Caenorhabditis elegans: one gene and its partners. The protein of the gene in region 1 purifies or fractionates together with the protein of each later gene. This does not show direct contact. Each region holds a gene or a part of one and is shown in the gene's direction. Other genes may lie near its edges.

The links. Proteins that work in one complex are often made in the same cells at the same time.
Region 2: the proteins of lec-10 (region 1) and H39E23.2 fractionate together in Caenorhabditis elegans (co-fractionation; one large-scale study listed by BioGRID). This does not show direct contact.
Region 3: the proteins of lec-10 (region 1) and K01A2.5 fractionate together in Caenorhabditis elegans (co-fractionation; one large-scale study listed by BioGRID). This does not show direct contact.

The regions. Positions count from the first base shown.
Region 1 is NC_003283.11:6,487,076-6,491,053, reverse strand, and holds lec-10 (Galectin), read left to right. Parts: upstream 1-1,933; 5' UTR 1,934-2,042; coding exon 2,043-2,063; intron 2,064-2,130; coding exon 2,131-2,412; intron 2,413-2,460; coding exon 2,461-2,736; 3' UTR 2,737-2,851; downstream 2,852-3,978. Other genes in the region: cpt-6 (Choline/carnitine acyltransferase domain-containing protein), read left to right, coding at 1-199, 247-435, 611-844; Nuclear migration protein unc-83, read right to left, coding at 3,706-3,978.
Region 2 is NC_003283.11:14,108,488-14,113,120, forward strand, and holds H39E23.2 (T20D4.11-like domain-containing protein), read left to right. Parts: upstream 1-1,854; 5' UTR 1,855-1,873; coding exon 1,874-2,047; intron 2,048-2,307; coding exon 2,308-2,412; intron 2,413-2,633; coding exon 2,634-2,810; intron 2,811-3,266; coding exon 3,267-3,374; intron 3,375-3,420; coding exon 3,421-3,540; 3' UTR 3,541-3,559; downstream 3,560-4,633. Other genes in the region: H39E23.3 (Neurofilament heavy polypeptide-like), read left to right, coding at 1-1,564; Serine/threonine-protein kinase par-1, read right to left, coding at 4,315-4,428, 4,479-4,596.
Region 3 is NC_003280.10:300,541-304,733, forward strand, and holds K01A2.5 (AB hydrolase-1 domain-containing protein), read left to right. Parts: upstream 1-1,864; 5' UTR 1,865-1,874; coding exon 1,875-2,156; intron 2,157-2,215; coding exon 2,216-2,369; intron 2,370-2,580; coding exon 2,581-2,692; intron 2,693-2,812; coding exon 2,813-3,062; 3' UTR 3,063-3,119; downstream 3,120-4,193. Other genes in the region: K01A2.6 (AMIN domain-containing protein), read left to right, coding at 126-227; col-69 (Nematode cuticle collagen N-terminal domain-containing protein), read right to left, coding at 3,384-3,556, 3,644-4,193.

The DNA.
Region 1 (3,978 bases):
CAAGAAGTGTGGTGTCTCACCAGATGCATTCATTCAAATGGCTATTCAACTTGCCAACTATCGAGATCAAGGCAAATTTGTGCTCACATATGAACCAGCATCAGCTCGATTCTTTGCAAACTCGAGGACCGAAACTTTGAGAACAGTTAACGATCACTCTTGTGAATTTGTGGAAGCTATGTTGAATGCAAATGAAACGGTAAGTTAATTTGAAGTTATTAAGACGATGAAAAATTCAAATTTCAGAAAGAAGCCAAGATTGCTCTTTTGAAAAAAGCTTGTGAAACTCATGTTCTTCGAAACAAGAAGTGTATGGTTGGGCAAGGAGTCGATCGTCATCTCTTTGTTCTGTATATTTTATCTCAAGGAACGGGGATTCAGAGTCCTTTCCTTGACAATTATATTAATCAAAAGTGGAAGCTATCTACCTCACATGTGAGTAATCATTAAAATAAGATGACATAGTGCTATGTATTTGGCAGTTGTATCACGTAACTTTCTAATAATGAGCTGAAGGATTTTAATTCAAACATTTTTCAACAATTGCTTTTTCTGGATTTTCCTAATTATTTTTTTTTTAACTTTACAATTTGAACATATCCTATTCCAGGTTCCAAACGTGACTAATCAATGCGACGAGGACACTGATTCAGACAACACTTGGCTCGGAGCATGCTTCGGAGCAGTCGCTGCTGATGGCTACGGAATCTGCTATCGCTTTGGAGGAAACCACGGAATCTTTGCAAACATCACAAGTTATCATTCCGCTGCCAACACTGATTCAACAAAGTTTGCAAAGTTGCTCTCCGAATCGTTCCACGAACTTTCAAACCTTTTCGTTTGAACCATCCCATTTTGTAACAAACGGTTTTATACCCATAACTTGTACCAATTTGAACTCATTCTGCACTATCATTCTAACCTGTTTCATATATTACTGTCACTCAGTCAATAAAATAATTTTTATTAAATAAAAAATTCTCTCGTGTATGACCCATTCAAAAATCACCTGAAATGACTCATGACCAGTTCACGATCTATGCTCAATTCTTGGTGTACACCAGACTATGACTCATGTAAAACTGGTGAAATGTCAAACAGAGTTTCCGATCAAAAATGGCAATTGTACGAGAATTTCATTTTTGATAGCATCACGTTGTGTGTGCCGATGGAAAGATGATTTTAGCACAAAAACTGCAAAAAACGGTTTTTATAGTGCACCAAAAAAGATGGAAAAAGATCTGAAAATGAATGAAATTGAAACTTAAATCTCTTAAGATTAAATATGAAATTTTGCCAATCTTTTCGGTAGGTTTTTGAAATCATGGAAACAGTTCTGGAAAGTTTGCAAACTTGACTATTTGTTTAGCTGACAAATTGTTGATGTGACTTGAATTCGCACCCTTTTCTAGATGAACTAATCCAAATTAACAAACGTAACGAAACATTTTCGAGGACAACAATCCTTTCATATTCATAACTACAGAAATCTGAACACCTTTTCAAAACATTATTTAACATCTAATTTTTTAAAATTCGTGGCATTTGTATGTAGAATTATGTTGTAAAATGATGTAATGATAGTGAGAAATCATTTAGATCTGTAACCTAAATACAATTTTTATACCCTCTATTAGACAAAACTTGATATTTAAAACTTTTTGTATTTCCAAAATGATGTTCCGTCATGCTGAAAAACAAAATAAACCAACAAAAAATTATGCTTCGAGCTGATTACTTGCAAATTATTAACAGAAACATTTCATTCCTAATCAGACGCAACGATTGAATTTGATTTTTCTTCCCCATCAGTTGAGTAATTACATCCTCTTTCATTGAATTCCAACTTTTAGTCTTATTCAGTTCTTTATTTGCCATTGATTTCCCAAATGTAGAAGTGTGTCTGATACCTCCCATTGATTCTTAGTCTTTAAGCAAATAAAACTCGCCTGATGTCATAGAAATATCGATAAGAGTTTGAATAAAAGTCGTGGCATTTCCTCACTTCTCTATCGGTTCAATCGGTCTTACTATCAACTAACATGCACTCCTATCACAACCCCGTGAGTTTTTGATTTTCTAGAATTTTCCAGTTTGGAAACTTCAAGTTTTCAATAAACCAAATTTCAGGGTGTCCCAACCGCTCTCTCGATCTTCGAGCCACTTCAAGATGGATCCACCATCTCTGTTCACGGACATGTTCGTCACGGACATCACAAGAACTTTGCCGTCGAGCTTTTGAGCGGACCAAATGTTGTTCTTCATGTCAACTTCCGTTTCCATCATGAACACGTCGTTGTCATGAACTCCCAGTTCAGTGGAATGTGGGGACCAGAAATCCGTCACAAAAACCCACTTCACCACTCGGAGCACTTCCACCTTAGCATCAAGGTTCACGCTGGATATTACCATGTAAGTTTTAACGTATTTAATTTTATAGTTAACTGTATTCAATTTCAGATCTCTGTGAACGGTCATCACCTCGCCGACTACCCACATCGTTACCCATACCAATCGGTTCAAGCCATCGGATTGAAGGGAGACGTTCATGTTGACAAGGTTCACTTCGAAGGATTCCACTTCCAACGTCGTTGGGACGGACATGTCGATCATGGACACTCTGGATACAATGCCTATGGAACTGAAACCTATGTTGCTCCAGTGTTTGTTCAGCCAAACTTTATGCCATACGGAGCACCACCACCACCAGTCCAAAACTTCAACCCATACAGATAAATCGGGGATCTTATTTTTTTAATGTATTTTTTGGAATTTTCGACGTTAATTGTCAAGTTGTTTTATAAATTTTGCATGTCTTATGAGTTTTTGTTGATAAAAAATGTTTAAATTTAAAAATCGCTAATGCTCAGAAGCCTTTGCTCTCCATTTTCTTTCAAACGTTCGCAAAGAAAACTGAATTTTAAAACAGTAAGTCAATATTATATTTTTTTTATGTCTGCGTGCCTGCCTCATACCTACTCGCCTACCACTTAATTTATTAATTTGGGAATTGAATAACTATATTCAGATGCTTGCAAAGTGTAGAATTAGTTTTCTGGAAGTTCAACTGGAAATCTATGAAGAATATTTATGTGTATTTTGGCAGGAGGCATGAAGGCCGCCTATTAGGCAGTCAGTCAGGGGGTCTTTTTTTTCATGATACACATGTGTTTGGCATATATTAATTTTTATTAACGAATGCACATAAATCAAATTTCAAAACAAAATAGGATAAAACCAAAAGGTAGTTCGTAAATAAAATAACTGACATCAAAAGTGGATTCTCTTTTCAGATGAGAATATTCAGATAACATTTTTTGTCAAATAAATCATCATATATACAGGAAAGTCACCGATTTAAGTGGAGATATAAAATATTCTCAATATGAGTGGAGAAACAAAAAAGAGAGAGAATGAAACAAATACCTGAACACGGAGATTTTTTTGGGGGGAAAGTTTGGAAGATTTTCGGATATTCGAAAGAAACTGTAGGGTAAGTGATTAATATTGAGTATCTAGTCCTACATTTCTATTTTTAAAAAACAATTTTTTTCTTTTTTGAAATTAAATGTTTAATTTCAGAAATTTAAAATATAAAAACAATCAATCGAATCTACTGGTTTAATTTTGTACCTACCCGGGTCAGAGATTACAACATAAAAATAGAAACAAAAAGGGATTTCAATCAGAATACTGATGATTCAGTTAAACCGGTGGTGGTCCATTCACATAGGTTACATGCGGACCAAATGGTTTTCCGAACACGTGATAATAGAAAATCGCTGCGAGCGCTGCCAGAAGAGAAAGGGCAAATGTGAATTTGATGAGACGAGATGAAGAGATTGCCTCCGCAATTGTGAGTGGCTCATTTTCAGTTTCCGATTCCATTTCAGCTGTTTGAGTTGTCATGCTTCGAGCCAAAGATGGAAGTGGCTCCGGAGGGTGGAATTGGACTGTTGGGGGAGTTGGCACTCGGAT
Region 2 (4,633 bases), 7.6 Mb from region 1:
AGCCAAGAGAGAATCTGATAAGCCAAAGACTGAATCTGCTGATTCTGAGAAGAAGGCCCCAGTCAAGAGAGAAGCTGATAAGCCAAAGACTGAATCTGCTGATTCTGAGAAGAAGGCCCCAGCCAAGAGAGAATCTGATAAGCCAAAGACTGAATCTGCTGATTCTGAGAAGAAGGCCCCAGTCAAGAGAGAAGCTGATAAGCCAAAGACTGAATCTGCTGATTCCGAGAAGAAGGCCCCAGCCAAGAGAGAATCTGATAAGCCAAAGACTGAATCTGCTGATTCTGAGAAGAAGGCCCCAGTCAAGAGAGAAGCTGATAAGCCAAAGACTGAATCTGCTGATTCCGAGAAGAAGGCCCCAACCAAGAGAGAAGCTGATCCACCAAAGACTGAATCTGCTGATTCCGAGAAGAAGGCCCCAGCCAAGAGAGAAGCTGATAAGCCAAAGACTGAATCTGCTGATTCCGAGAAGAAGGCTTCAGCCAAGAGAGAAGCTGATAAGCCAAAGACTGAATCTGCTGATTCTGAGAAGAAGGCCCCAGTCAAGAGAGAAGCTGATAAGCCAAAGACTGAATCTGCTGATTCTGAGAAGAAGGCCCCAGTCAAGAGAGAAGCTGATCCGCCAAAGACTGAATCTGCTGATTCCGAGAAGAAGGCCCCAACCAAGAGAGAAGCTGATCCACCAAAGACTGAATCTGCTGATTCCGAGAAGAAGGCCCCAGCCAAGAGAGAAGCTGATCCACCAAAGACTGAATCTGCTGATTCCGAGAAGAAGGCCCCAGCCAAGAGAGAAGCTGATCCGCCAAAGACTGAATCTGCTGATTCCGAGAAGAAGGCCCCAGCCAAGAGAGAAGCTGATCCACCAAAGACTGAATCTGCTGATTCTGAGAAGAAGGCCCCAGTCAAGAGAGAAGCTGATAAGCCAAAGACTGAATCTGCTGATTCCGAGAAGAAGGCCCCAGCCAAGAGAGAAGCTGATCCACCAAAGACTGAATCTGCTGATTCCGAGAAAAATGCCCCAGCCAAGAGAGAAGCTGATAAGCCAAAGACTGAATCTGCTGATTCCGAGAAGAAGGCCCCAGCCAAGAGAGAAGCTGATCCACCAAAGACTGAATCTGCTGATTCCGAGAAGAAGGCCCCAGCCAAGAGAGAAGCTGATCCGCCAAAGACTGAATCTGCTGATTCCGAGAAGAAGGCCCCAGCCAAGAGAGAAGCTGATCCACCAAAGACTGAATCTGCTGATTCTGAGAAGAAGGCCCCAGTCAAGAGAGAAGCTGATAAGCCAAAGACTGAATCTGCTGATTCCGAGAAGAAGGCCCCAGCCAAGAGAGAAGCTGATCCACCAAAGACTGAATCTGCTGATTCCGAGAAAAATGCCCCAGCCAAGAGAGAAGCTGATAAGCCAAAGACTGAATCTGCTGATTCCGAGAAGAAGGCTTCAGCCAAGAGAGAAGCTGATCCACCAAAGACTGAATCTGCTGATTCTGAGAAGAAGGCCCCAGTCAAGAGAGAAGCTGATAAGCCAAAGACTGAATCTGCTGACAAGGTTCCACTACCACATTAACTCGATATGGAACTTCGACGAGAAAGTATCTTTTGAATTAATAAAAACATGTATGAAATGTTATTGTGCATATAGTTCTGTAATAAACTCATTTTTCACAACTACGTTGTAGTGTTTTCGAAAAATACAAACAAACTAAATTGAAAATAGCTTTTTAATCTATGTTCTCCATTGCTCAGGTTCATTTTCAGTCAGATTCATCATGCTGTTTACATCAAATTTTCAAGAAAACAGCTGTTCTTAACATTTGATTTCCAATCTTTTGGCATCCGATTTCTCCACTCTCCTCGAAGATTTCATATTCAAAAAATGAAGTTTTCATCAACTATTATATTTCTTATTTTTTTACTTGTGCCCTCTTTGAAATGTGCATTCCGGACTGGACATAGACATGACTGGTATGAAAAGAATCGTCTGAAAGTTTCCTGTTTGCAACAGGATGATCCAGTTGGAAGGAATGCAGTTAGTCGGTGCTGGTTCTGGGTTCGTTCTCCATTTGACAATAGAAATAGTTATGAATCTTTCAAATTTTGTTGCGAGAGAATTGAATTACATCAACAATATCGCTAGTTTTGAGCTTCAAAAGTTCAAAATTGCAATTTCGTGTTAACTGTTGTAAGTGTATCGCTGTTGTAACACAACACCCTACATACAGTAATTTAAAAGTAATCTAACTAAATTAAATTCGACCCATAATTATTAAAACAAACAATTCAAAAAGCTCTATAATTTCCATTTTCCAGGAAGGAATGAAATCATGGTTCCGAAGAACATCGATCTCTTGGTATCCCGAACAAACGAAAACGTGGAATATGACAGAATTGACAGCACATTGTGATAAGTATTATGTAAGGTCATGAGTACTTTTCTGGAACCTTATTCTGATGAAAATTGAAATGTTATTGATGAAGTACCGAAATAAATTAACCGCTCCGCGGTTTTTGCACCGACATTAGAAGATATTGTTTTTTTAACAAAGCAATCGTATAAGTACGGAAATTCAACAATGTTTTTGGCTAATTTAAAATGATTGAACAACTAATTTAAATTGAGTCACGTCTTATTTCAGACCTGTATGGAAAATACAAAATGCTACAAGGACTTTGTCCTATTTGAGACATTGGATAGATGCTCTCATGATGCATTCAATATTGGTCCAATGAGCTTTTGCTATTCTACTTTAAGAGATGTTGCAAAGAATTTCCCAGACAAGTTATCGTCTTGCGTGAAGGAACACTTGGATGCGGTGAGTGCATTTATCTGAGTGGGTCTCACCACGATTTGTGCCTAATTTTAGATACTTGCGTAGTTGATGTGGAAAGTGGAGTTTTTGAAATGTCAATTTCTGAAATGTACAGAGAAAACATGAATTTATTATGGAATATTTATCACTTACTGTCACGTTTCCGCAAACGGACGATATTGTAATTTTTCCATTTTCTGATATTTGCACTTAAAAACACACCGATTTATTCGGTAGGTTCTCGCCGCGAGAAAAAATTTGTTATTTGAAATTTTTCTCGTGGCGAGACCCATCCAAATAAACCTGTGCGCCTTCAATTACTCATCACGGTATTTTGAAAATGTTTAATAGTAATTTGTGTATTTTTGTGAAATTCGCAGAATTGAGATCGTGGTGAGACCCAATGAAGCCCCACATTTTCCCAAATTTAAAAAAGCAATTGTAACGTCCTATTTTCAGACTCCGACAAGGAAATGGACTTGCGAGATAGCCCAGGATTTAGGAAATTGTCTTCTACCGGACGTTAAAAATTACTGTGAACCGAATTTTCTACCGATATTTAAAGAGGTTTCCAATATATTTATTCTACATTTAAAATTAAAATCCGTTCCAGCATCAAGATTCTCGTATGTTCAATTTGGGTTGCGATGGGCGATTGAAGTTCAAAGACATGGAAGATTTGAAGGATCACAATGCGACGGATCTAGTTGGAAGTTCTGTAGAAATAGAATAATAAACATTTAATAATTTACAATTCTTCATTTGATCATCACAGAGGGCGCAAGGAAAACAAATGTTTCGGAGACAAGGGAAAATGTTGTGAGGGTTGTATGGAGAATTATATGGGGACAGGGGGGACTACGGTAAGTTATGGGTAGTCTGGGGTGGGAAGGGAGAAAAATAAAATATGAAAAAAGAAAAGGAAGAAAAAACGCGATGAATACCCTAAAAGACACATAGAAAAAAAATTTAAAAAAAGAAGAGTAGTCAATAATCGAATAATAATTATAATAATATTTAAATCAATGGGATATCGAGAAAACTTATAAGATAAGATGGATTGGTTATATCATCGGGGGGAAGGCGCGAAATATGAAACGATGGGTTTGAAAAAGAAAAATGCAATTTGAAGCGGCGACGACGATGAAGACACAAAAATAGAGGTTTTATAAAACAAGGATACGGTAGGGGGACGGGGGGAGCAATCACCTACAACGATGAATTTGAAAATATCCAAAAAAAAAAGAGAAAACCGTACTGGAAGAGGGGGATTGTTGAATTGGGAGGAGGAGACGAATTGAACAGAAGTTAATTTCAGCAATTTTTCACTGAAATCGCTGCTTTTTTCATAAATTTCTGAATTTCAGTTTACAATGACTGATGATGTGTTGGGTGACGAGAGAAGCGAGAATATCGAGACATGGATAAAAACGTGAGGCGGTTAGAGAGAGAGAGTGAAGGGGCGACAAATGAAACATGAAAAGAACAATCATCAATAGGTTCAGCTCTAAAGGTTCAGCTCTTGGGCTATTTTCGAAGCGATATTCTTGAAGCCAATCGATGTTCCCGAGATTCGTTTGAATCGAACTCCATTCAGACTGAGACGTGGCAACTTGCAGACCTGAAAACATTTAGAATTAACTACAGTAACCAGATAGCTGGTGTACTCACCTCCATCTCCCATTGAACAAGTGAGTCTGTATTCGGATCACCGTGCACACACAGAATCATGTATCGTTCCCGTTGCTCGTAGTCACAACCGTTAGCGTCAAGAACTTTTCGAATTTCTCTGAAAAAACGTTATAAGTATATCGAAAACTAGAGTT
Region 3 (4,193 bases), on another chromosome or scaffold:
CGCTAGTCACCTAAAATGATGATATCGGGTGGCAGGCATATATGGATTTTTTAACCGACCAGTTAAAAACTGATATTTTAAAAAGGTGATGCTAAAAAAATTGTTCAATCAATCCAATCTTCCAGGGAACAGCGCAACAACTACCTGTATTTCATGATCAAAACTTTGATAGAGTCCCTGTGCAAGTTGTCAACCGGCAGGACCCCAATGAACACTGCGACACATAGTACCCTGCGACAGTATATAGAAGAATCCTAAGACGAGCTAGAGTATTCAGAGATCGACAAGGACAGCTCACGGATCAATGGGAGCCGCTTGGAGATCCAGTGGAAGTGGAGTCTTGGACATTGACACGGAAACAAGGGAATACTGGAAAATGAGAAAATCGTCTTCAAGTTTTTCTCTAATATTGTAATTTTCAAGTTTTATTGATTAAATTTGGTTCATAAAAATTTATTTGTGTTCGACAACATGGGTGAAGCCGCATTGTTCCAGATGTGTAAAACTGTGTTGTCCTAAAAGATCAAAGACCCAAGCTTGACAAATCTGAAAAAAATGCTTTCAGCACTCCCCGCAAAATCACATGATTCGATCATCAATTTCCTCTTTGCGGTTTTATACAATACCTTCAGACAATAGGAACAATTTTCTGTCTCTTCCATATCCCTTTTCCCTTTCATTTCCCATTTATTTCCCTCTGTGTGTCCAAGTGCCTGTGTTCTTCTCCTTCTTCTTTCATCTTAACAACATCTTCCTCCGACTGCGTTTGTACACTTTCACCTGTTATTCCCTATTTACCCTCATATCCTAGATTGAAATCTGCATACTCTCCCAGTATAAATCAAAAGGTTTACTTTACTGTTTCATAGTTCCTTTTTATTAGAAACTACACATTTATATTACAAATAACTAGATGTTTCGGTGTTTTAGTGGTTATGTTTTTTTTAATAATTTTTATTACCTTTCTAGAATCTTCCAAAATTTTCTCGAATTATTCTGAAGGTTCCAGAACCTTCCAAAATTTTCTCGTATTTTCCAGATAGTTCTAGAACATTCCGGAATTCTATCTAATTTTTCAGAAGGTTTTAGAACATTCCAAAACTTTCTCGTATTTTCCAGATGGTTCTAGAACTTTCCGCAGCTTACAGGCACAAAATTAATCCGGTCTTGTCCAAATTCCTTCTGAAATCTTAATCTGTAGGCTACAAATTTCTCATTCCTATCGGACTTTCAAAATCTTTTTCGTAGAACTATTCGTCATTCAAATACATGCACTTTTAAAATTTCCTCTTTGGTTTTCCTTCCTCTTTAGCCTATTTCACCGAATTTTTGAGATCAATAATTCCATGTGTCCGATTTTCGAATAATTTAATATTCACTATCAGTTTTCACGTATCATAATTCTGGAAGTCGATCAAAAAACAATGTTTTGTACTCTACATTTCTGTATTTAAATATTGTAGAGGTTCACAATACATGTTCTCGCTCTTCAGAAAATTCCGAATTCTATAAATGTCGCGGAACCATAATTATTTGGCCTAAACCGATTTCAAATACCTATGTTAATTCTAGGTCAATCCGGTGGTTGTAAATCATCGACAATAACAATATATACGACCTACTGTACTAGTAGGTTGTAAATACTGTAGTACTACCACACCACAAGAGGCGTTCTCTTAGCAATACATTTGAACCTTGACCCTTGTTACGTCTCTTTCTAGGATAGAAGAAATCGGGGAGATGTACTTCAAAGGTGTGCGGTCTCAAAGGTCACAAAGGTGTCTCAAACATTTATATTATCCGGAAAATTTCCTCACCGTCGCTACCTCATAATTAACAAATTAAACACCTAAATAAATTTCAGCAAAAGAAAAATGACTCAAAGCGACTATATCGAAAGTTCGGAACACATCAAGGACACTCAAATCGGTTACTGTAAATACGGCCACGGTCCGAACTACATTCTCGCGATTTGCGGTGCTGTCGGCTGCTATAAAAAAGATTGGCCACTCAAATTGCTCTCTCATTTCCCACCAGATCAGGTCACAATTGTTGGGATTGATCCTCCAGGTTACGGTACCTCAAGACCTCCAGAGCGAAAACAAGAAGTTCAGAGATGTATGAAGGATAGTGAATATTGCCTAGGGTTAATGGAGGTGAGCTTTTAATTTTGAAATTAAAATTTTTACGTTTTCAAAAAGCCTCCAAATTTTAGACCCTGAAACTAGAGCCGTTCACCGTGATGGGGTGGTCAGAAGGTGCTAGAACAACGGTCCACGTGGCAGCTAAAGGAAAGGAAAAAGTGAATCGAATGATTGTAATGGCTGGTGCAACAAAAGTTAATCATCTAGGAGCCATGGCTTTCAAGGGTGAGATATTTAGATATATTTGGAAGATTACTGTTTTTTAATGAAATTTCTTAATTTGACACCAATATGGCCCATTTTTCCACATAGAAGCAGCAATTTATGCCTACCTACCTACAAGATTTTTTATGGGAAAATAAATCGAACGTCCATTTTATGGGTGTGGCCATCTATTGGTTTTGTGCTCTTTATAAATTAATTTTTGGAATTTCAGGAATGCGTGAAACAAATCATTGGCTAGCAGCCGGTCGTCAACCATATTTGGACCATTATTCGCCGGAAACACTCCGGACACAATGGGCGGCACTTTGTGACGTCGTAGATCAGTGAGTTTTGTGGGCGGGGCTTATGCGAAGTTGTGTATATTCCTGTAGGCACAAATATGTCTGCCAACTACCTTCAAGGCGACCTACGTCTGCTTCCTACCTAACCAAACGAATTTTCAGAGTTCACTCGTTCTGCGGTGGCCGTTTCCCGTGTGACCTGGTACTTCCACAAGTCAAATGCCCGACACTAGTGATGAATGGTGGATTGGACCGGTTCTGTGGTGACCCGAATGTATGCTTCATCCCAGTGCTCAAGAGTTTGGCAAAAGTTGAGATTCATGCACAAGGAGGACACGATTTTTATTTGAAATATCCCAAATGGTTTTCCGGAAAGGTTCTGGAATTCTTGAAGAGCACGGAGAAGAAATGATAAATATATGAAATTTGTATTTTGTATTTTGTGAAGAATAAAGTTTATAAAAAATTCGTCCTGGTCTCAAGCAATTTCGCTATTACACTCATAAGCTCCACCCACAAAATGACTGATTTCATTAGGAATTTTGCCAAAAGAAAATTTCAGAAAAAATTCTAAAATTTCCAGAAAAAAAATCTTCCCGTTCACAAAGGGTTTCTGTCCGAGCCTTGTGGGCGGGGCCCATGCGAAGCCCAATTAAAATTTTTGGGACAGTATACTTTCTGGAAACGTCCGTGAAAAAGTTTATACAAATTTATTTCACAAAAATAAAAATAATTACGGACTAGCGTGACTAACAGGCTTCCGGCGAACATTCTTTGCTCTTGTCGCCAAAAGTAGTCGTCTCTGCTTCTTGAGCACTCGAGCCAGCACTCGTTTCCTGTACTCATCCTCTTTATTGTACTCTGACACGTAACGGCTTTGGGATGCTGTGGCGTAGCTTGTGGACACTGTAAAAAATATGTTGAAATTTGAAATTTGAGTTTTTTTAGGCCGTAATATCAGCCCCGCCTACTTAATGGAAAAAAGTAGCCTACCTGGTGCCGGCTGCACATAACTATTCCGATTGACTCCTGCGTTCTTTGGTGGACACGGACAATATTCAGCATCCTGCCCCGGTGGCCCACGAACTCCTGGATAGCCAGTAACTCCAGGTACCCCTGGTTCTCCATCCTGTCCAGCTTCTCCCTGAACTCCAGGTGTTCCTGGTGGTCCTGGAGGCGGTGTATATCCAGGTGGCCCTGGTGGTCCGCATTGACCAGGAAGTCCTGGAGGGCCTTTACGGCCTGGTAGGGATATCTGACGGATCGAGTTATTTCCAGGCTCTCCCTTAAGGCCTGGTGTACCATTGGGACCTTCCCGTCCAGCTTCACCACAAGGCCCCGGTGGCCCAGGAAGTCCTGGAGGAGAGGTGTATCCGGGATTCCCTGGGAGCCCGGGAATTCCAGAAGGTCCACAAGGCCCAACGGCACCAGGAGGACCTTGTGGACCCTGGGGACATTGTATGCAACCTGGAATCTCTTGATCGTAAGCTATAAGGGTTACACCATTGGCTCCTGGACGTCCATCGAGACCCCGAGAGCCCGG